Linked DNA regions of Arabidopsis thaliana. The protein of the gene in region 1 interacts with the protein of each later gene in a pairwise test. Each region holds a gene or a part of one and is shown in the gene's direction. Other genes may lie near its edges. The genes, in order: AT1G78410 and WRKY26.

Region 1 (4,050 bases):
GTTTAAAAAAAAGAAATTGATCTTCGGTGAATTTTTATCTGCTATAAAAACAGAACAATAGTTAATTACTTACTTATATTCATTCAAAGTTAAATTCCAAAATGCTGAAACTCAAATGGACATAACTTACCCCAGTCGAAATAGTTAACTATATATTACCGGCGGTAAAAGCTGAGATAAAATAACTAATCTGTTCAAACTTTGTATATACTTAATTTCAAAGGCGATCAAATAAAAAACAGTCAGGTTCCTGAGTCAAGATTTGTAGTCAAAACCTTACTCTGATCCGTTATAGCCAAACTTGACTTTCCCTTTGTATGTTCATCAGTCTATTAATATTGATATCAAAACTGTACGTACAATAACGTACTGCACCAAATTTTATCAACAAACAAAAAATAGACTATACATAATTACGTATCAACTTCTAAAAGTTGTAGTGTAGTGATAAATGATAACGGATTGATTTGTATTTACCTTAAGGCTTAAACTGATCCATATATAATTTTATTCTTCATATGAAAATTTTGGTAAAGCCAATATAATTTTTGTGTGGTTGGTAACAACTGAAAATAATTAGGGCTATCGCAAAAGTACAACCGTACAATGAACTAATTTGCAATTTCTGAGAAGAATTTTGTTAGTGAAAGTCTGAGTCAACAAAACAAAAATTCAGGGAATTGAATGAATGATTGGGTCCCTTTATGAAACTCCCCATGAAACATCGTATGTAACTATCAGTGACTTCTTGTGCATCATGCTGAACTTCTAATCTCTTTTTTTTTTTTTTTTTTCTAATCTCTTTTAAATAGTAAAATCTACAAAAATATGATCCATTACTCATTTATATCAATATTTAAAATAAAATAAAATCTATATATCAATATAATTCAAGATGCAAACATTTAAAATTTACCTTACAATGATGTGAGTATATGTTACCTCCTATTTTTTATGTTTTAAACCGTATAAAATTTTCATATGCTGTTGGCTGTGGAAAAAGGGAAAACATGGTTATTAACTAAAAGCCCCATTTGGGATGTTTTGATTAGAAATTTTTATCTTGAAAAAATAAACTAAAGCCATTAGTGTTTTCTTTGTCGATGGAAAAAAAAGACATCACCTTTTGAAGAAAAAAATGACATCACCTTACTATTTTCTAGAAGCATAATCAAAGACGATTATATTTTGTCATAACGAAATAGTGTGGGGGGACGTGCAAAATTCTACTCACGTGTAAATACTTGGTAAGTTTTCAGTAGTTTTTTCTTAGGCTGTTTCACGTGATGTAACAGGATTTCATCAAAGAAGGCGTGCTTTGACCCAATCTAATGAAAATACACTATGATTTTTGGTAATTTTAATACTTTTGATGGTGATAGTGATATATAAATTTTAATGTTTGGTCCTTCAAGGCTGCTAGATTTTATTAACGGTCAACATGTCTTAATGATCAAAGGTCCTATCTATGCACAAAGCCATGTGCTTTTCGATTGATCTCAGTAAATGTTGAATGATTGTTGCTTTGTATAACAAATAGTTACCTTGTTTAATATTCTCAACAATAGGTTATAAAAATAATTATATGTAGTTAATCTTTGATTTTAAATAATTACTATTAAGTTATTTTCTTGCAGTTTCAAAATTGTTTTAAGTTTACCGTTGCTGTTAAATTCTAAAGAATATACAGAATGCAGTAATTGTTTCATCAACAGATGTATAAAAAGTCTTTAATTAGTCAAAAAAATTCTTCATTCATAAAATTCATTGGTAAGCATTTCTAGACTAGAGCCGTAAATATTTTCGGCCAATATAATAATTAGGAAAATATTTATTAGGAATTCAACGAATATGATAAAAAACGTTGGTCGTCGAAAATGTATCATGACGTCAGGAAGAAAAAAAACAAGAAAAAAATAGGTCGTCACATATGTTTTCATGTAGGACAAGATTACGATTATAAAATCGTTTCAAAAAGAATACGAAAAAATTTACTTGAATGAGTCACTTCAGTACCCCACAGAGATTATATCTTTCTCTCTTTAATCTCTCTATAAATACCTAAGTATGCAACTATGCATATAAATCTACAAAACATCTGAACACCCAAAGACACAGGAAGAGAGCTAAAGCTGATATATACTAAGTACTAAGATCATTTGATCAACCTAATCATCAACACCACAAAATTTTCTTTTCTTGTTTCTCTAATCGATTAATTTAGTAATAATGTCTGGAAGAGGGAAAGTGAAATCGGAGCCGATGAAGGTTGTGTTCATTAACACACAGTATGTTGAGACAGATGCTCGTAGCTTCAAGACCGTTGTTCAAGAACTCACCGGTAAGAACGCCATCGTCGCCGCCGGTCCTTTTGATTCGCCCTCTGCTTTCGACGGCCGTTGTTACGATGGCGGTAGTAAAATCGGTGAAGATACCAGACAGCTCCACGGCGGTGGCGGCGGAGGAGGACGAATGGGGACGACGACGGAGTTCGATAGATTATTCAAAGAGATGCCTCACATGGAAGAATTGTATAAACTATGGTCAGAATATTGAGTCATTAATAATTTCTGTGCAATGATTTTTAAATCATTCGTTTTCTTCCAAAATCTTTTCTTTTTTATCTAATGAGATAATGTTGTTGTTGATTTGATTTAATCATCTTAACTGGATCGTCACTCTTGAGATTAGGTCCAATAACGAATGTTGTGTTTTGGAAAGTAATTATGAGTTACCTTTCAGTACGGCCCATGTCTCCGAATTTTAAACGGGCTTATTATAGCTTTCATATGTTGTTTAAAAGGACCATGAAGCCCAAGTATATGCGAGATTAATACTTGGTTCTCTTATTTTCTGTGTATTTGGGTTTTAGAACCAATTATCAAAACAAGAAGTGTGAGTGTGTGACAAAGGCATTGAAAGCGACTAGCAGATTAAGAAGTCAGGCCTCAACTATGGGCTTTTCTCTATGGGGCGTCTTTGCTACCCAAGTCCAACTAGGTATTACTTTTTTTTCCATATTTTTTATATATTTATATTTCATGTTTTTCTTTTCTTGCAAAATAATGTTTTTAACTAAAAGAATTTTGATTTCACTAAAATTAGTAATTTCACTAAAAACTGTTTAATTCTTGTGACTATTTCACAATTTTTAGAATCCAACATGCGATACAGTTCACAACAACCAAATGAAGCATTATATGAACTAATCTTCTTGTGTTTATATATAAAACAGGTTTTTGTGTAAGTGCGTAAATGGCTGAGGCAAATAGCAACAAAACTCATGGTTAACCTTCTCTAACCAACCTTAACCAATTTTGTGTTGGGTGAACCATTTCCTTTCATCAACCCAAAACACACTCACGATTTTAATCGTCTCATCTACAATTCTTGTTTTATTTAACGTTCTTTCTTAATCTAGCTTTCTGGTAGTTATTTTCAGGGTTTTTTCTGGTATATAGTTGGGTTGATTCAACGATTATCCGAAACATTATACGTCAACATACAATACAAGTCTATTAAAAATTATTAGCTAATAGAAGTAGAACCTACTAAGCTATATTGTCGTCAACAAGAACCATTTTTAAATTCAATTAAATATAACATTAACGCCGACTAATCTAGTTTATGAAATATCACCAAAACTTTGAACACATAATGAGTCTCGTAACACACCAAAGATACTAACTTCTTTATTTTTTTCCATTAATAAATTTGATGGTAAATTACGAATATTGGACTATACAATTATGCAAATGCGACAAACAAAGATACAATTAAAGAATAAAATGTTAAAAAAGACATTATTCTGATCCAACTCGGTGCTTAAGACAAAACCGCCTTCACAAGATTTCGTATATTCTAATCCTTTTTTGGTCAACAAACAAAAAAAAACATAAATAAACGTAACGACGTCGTTTTACACGAAAATGAAAAACACACGCGAAGAAAGAAGCGCGTGGAGAGGAAGAAAGAAGCAAAGAGTTGGATTCTTTGGCTCGTCTCTTACTCCATCGTTTCCTGTTCCCTTTTAGCTTCTCCACATCATCA
Region 2 (4,027 bases), on another chromosome or scaffold:
AGCTGCAAACATGGTTCGTCTTCTCAATTTCTCGTTTTTCTCCCAATTTTGGTTTAGTCTGTGTCTATGTCTCTTCTGTTTAGTTATATCTGGTCATGGATATTCAATTATGGGCGTTTTGGTTAGTTTCTTAGGACAATGGCGACTCTAGTTTTCTCGTTTCATGCCGTAGACCGTACCTGTAAATGTTTCAGACTGCGATGTTGTATTTTTCTTGACAATTGAGCTTCTGGGTAGTGTACTTTTGACTAGGCTCTGTCAAATGTGATAACTTTTTATTGATTGAATCGTCTGTTGTTTTGACCTTTTATATATCAAATGTGATTATGCAGGCAAGAGGATTGAAGAAGCATCTAAAGAGGCTCAATGCTCCTAAGCATTGGATGCTTGACAAACTTGGTGGTGCCTTCGTAAGTTGTTTGTCTCATCAATCTTGTGTTTTTAAGACAATTCATTACATTTGTTCTGTAATGTTGATGTGTTTGTATCGATCATTTTTATGCTGTTTCTTGTTGTAGGCTCCCAAACCATCTTCTGGACCTCACAAGTCGAGGGAGTGTCTTCCTCTTGTCCTGATCATCAGGAACAGGTTGAAGTATGCTTTGACTTACCGTGAAGTTATCTCTATCTTGATGCAAAGGCATATCCAAGTTGATGGCAAAGTCAGGACTGACAAGACTTACCCTGCTGGTTTCATGGGTATGTCTTTTTTTTTTTCCAGTTATGTCTGCCCTTTTTGTCGTATGTATTTGATCACTGAACTAAATTGCATTATGGTTTGAATAGATGTTGTATCCATCCCCAAGACCAATGAGAACTTCCGTCTTCTCTACGACACCAAGGGACGTTTCCGTCTCCACTCCATCAAGGATGAGGAAGCAAAGGTTTGTTGCACTCTCTTCTTAGATCTTGACTGGAATTAGAACTAGTGATTGGAATTAGAAGATTGATTAGTCTTTTTCTGCTTGAATGTGCAGTTCAAGCTTTGCAAGGTTAGATCTATCCAGTTTGGTCAGAAGGGAATTCCATACCTGAACACTTATGATGGTCGCACCATCCGTTACCCTGACCCGCTCATCAAGCCAAATGACACCATCAAGCTGGACCTTGAGGAGAACAAGATTGTTGAGTTCATCAAGTTTGACGTGGGTAACGTTGTGATGGTGACTGGAGGCAGAAACAGAGGGCGTGTGGGTGTGATTAAGAACCGTGAAAAGCATAAGGGAAGCTTTGAGACAATCCACATTCAAGACTCAACAGGGCATGAGTTTGCCACAAGGTTGGGGAATGTGTACACAATCGGCAAAGGAACAAAGCCATGGGTGTCTCTTCCAAAGGGCAAAGGTATTAAGCTGACCATCATTGAGGAAGCCAGGAAGAGACTTGCTTCCCAGCAAGCTGCTTGAAAGTCCAACTGCTTTGAATCATCAAGACCCGTTTCTTTTACAGACTCGCTGCTTGTCTCAGTTTGTGAGTCTATTTCTTTTCTTATGTTGTTGGATTTCAAAACCCATCAAAAAATAGCTGAGTAGTGCTTTTTGTAATGTTTGTATGGTGGATTTTTTGGTGATTTACCGTTTAAATCAGATGACAGTTGGTCCACTCCTTTGCTTAGTCTTCTCCTTTGCTTTGCGCTATTAGTTGTTGAGAGATGAGTAATAGATATTATTTTCTTGGCATTAAGTAATCTAGAAGAAGACCTCAAGGACTCCTGAAAGTGATGTGAATTCAGCCGCCTTACACAAAAAAGTCAAACATTTTGGTGTTTTGAATACACACGCTTCACACTTGGTCACAAGCTTATCTTTTATAATTGCTTGCTTTTCCTTGGAAACATCCTTTCCTTCTATCCAACTCGTAATTTAATATAGGAAGAAGAAGAAGAAGAAGAGTACCTCATACGTAAACCATTGATGGGCTCTTTTGATCGCCAAAGAGCTGTTCCGAAATTCAAAACAGCAACACCGTCACCGCTCCCTCTTTCTCCTTCGCCTTACTTCACTATGCCTCCTGGCCTTACTCCCGCCGACTTTCTCGACTCTCCTCTTCTCTTCACTTCCTCCAACGTATCTATCTATCTCCTCCAACGTTTCAAACTATGATTGTTTGTCCTTATCTTGGAATATTGAAAGAATTCAAGGTTCTTGATTTGTCCATTTCCCTTCTTCTTCTCTCATATCATCTTCTTCTTTGATCTTGAAATCACAGATTTTGCCGTCTCCTACGACAGGCACATTTCCAGCGCAATCTCTGAACTATAACAATAACGGTTTGCTCATTGACAAAAATGAAATCAAATATGAAGACACAACTCCTCCCTTGTTCCTACCATCTGTAGGATCCATTTTTGCATTTTTAGCTTCTGCTTTATTATCTCTTAAGACATTCTAGTTTTAAACTATCTCATTTTCAGATGGTAACTCAGCCTTTACCTCAACTGGATTTATTCAAATCCGAAATCATGTCGAGTAACAAAACCTCTGATGACGGCTACAATTGGCGCAAATACGGGCAGAAGCAAGTCAAAGGAAGCGAAAACCCGAGGAGTTACTTCAAATGCACGTATCCAAATTGTCTCACAAAGAAGAAAGTAGAGACGTCTCTTGTGAAGGGTCAGATGATTGAGATTGTCTATAAAGGAAGCCACAATCATCCCAAGCCCCAATCCACGAAGCGATCATCTTCCACCGCTATAGCAGCACATCAGAACAGCAGTAATGGAGACGGTAAAGACATTGGTGAAGATGAAACAGAGGCCAAGAGATGGTAATTAGCAGACTCATAATTAAGTAACTGAAACCAAAAGGATGAGGAGACAATGAGATGTCTGATTGGATTTGTTGTGAATGGCTTATAAATGCAGGAAAAGAGAAGAGAATGTGAAGGAGCCAAGAGTGGTGGTTCAGACAACAAGTGATATAGACATTCTTGACGATGGCTACAGATGGAGAAAGTATGGTCAGAAAGTCGTCAAGGGTAATCCAAATCCAAGGTGTGGTTTTATTTTTCTCTTGTCAATTCTGAATGAAAAGGAGGCTTGAAGCTTGAGCTATAAGTTAGTTAAATTTGTGATGTGCAGGAGCTATTACAAGTGCACATTTACAGGATGTTTTGTAAGGAAACACGTTGAAAGAGCATTTCAAGATCCCAAGTCAGTGATCACAACTTACGAAGGAAAACACAAACACCAAATCCCGACCCCAAGAAGAGGTCCAGTTTTAAGGTTACTTGGAAAAACAGAGACATAAAGAGCAAATGAGTTTTGGCATTTCAGCATTCCTATTGTAATCTTTCATTCATATATAGTATGTTTCCTTAATCATGCGCCTATACACACATAACTGATCAGGACTAGGCAGAGGCTAAAGTTCCAAGCTTCTCCATCATTTTGCCCCCTATGTTCACTACCGACGATAAATCTTTATTCAACTGTTTCAAGATATTAAATCAAACATACATCACACCAAGTGTTTGACATGATGATGATGGAATGGAATGGATGGTGGCAAATGATGTGATAAACACACAAAGGCATACACATAAATGTATATTACTACAAAGAGCGGAATATTTTTATGTTTCTTTAAAAAGAAAGAAAGACGCAAAAGCACATGTGATAGTAGCCGACAGTTTGAAGTAAAGCCAGCAAATCGTGAAAGCCATTTACTTTTAGATCTCTCTCTGCACTCTCTGACTTTGTCCGCAAAGTAGATCTGCTGCAATGGCTTCTCCTCTTCTCCCAACTTCGACTACTCCTGATCAACTTCCCGGCGGCGATCCACAGTTGCTGAGCTCTCTACGCGTCCTCTTGTCCCGCGTTCTAGCCACCGTCCGTCACGCTTCTGCAGATGCCAGACCCTGGGCAGAGCTCGTTGACCGGTCAGCGTTTTCCCGGCCACCATCGCTCTCGGAGGCAACGTCACGAGTAAGGAAGAACTTTTCCTATTTCCGAGCCAATTACATAACCTTAGTGGCAATCTTACTCGCCGCGTCTCTGCTCACGCACCCTTTCGCTCTCTTCCTCCTC

Evidence for each region.
Region 2: the proteins of AT1G78410 (region 1) and WRKY26 interact in a two-hybrid assay, tested with the Arabidopsis thaliana proteins (one study listed by BioGRID).

What each region holds. Positions count from the first base shown.
Region 1 is NC_003070.9:29,500,499-29,504,548, forward strand, and holds AT1G78410 (VQ motif-containing protein), read left to right. Parts: upstream 1-2,083; 5' UTR 2,084-2,229; coding exon 2,230-2,556; 3' UTR 2,557-3,000; intron 3,001-3,235; 3' UTR 3,236-3,440; downstream 3,441-4,050. UniProt on the Arabidopsis thaliana protein: May modulate WRKY transcription factor activities.
Region 2 is NC_003076.8:2,202,400-2,206,426, forward strand, and holds WRKY26 (WRKY DNA-binding protein 26), read left to right. Parts: upstream 1-1,848; 5' UTR 1,849-1,913; coding exon 1,914-2,066; exon of another isoform or gene 2,067-2,208; coding exon 2,209-2,334; exon of another isoform or gene 2,335-2,413; coding exon 2,414-2,766; intron 2,767-2,863; coding exon 2,864-2,992; intron 2,993-3,079; coding exon 3,080-3,248; 3' UTR 3,249-3,412; downstream 3,413-4,027. Other genes in the region: AT5G07090 (Ribosomal protein S4 (RPS4A) family protein), read left to right, coding at 11-13, 333-410, 519-699, 787-884, 978-1,406; PRA1.B6 (prenylated RAB acceptor 1.B6), read left to right, coding at 3,722-4,027. UniProt on the Arabidopsis thaliana protein: Transcription factor. Interacts specifically with the W box (5'-(T)TGAC[CT]-3'), a frequently occurring elicitor-responsive cis-acting element.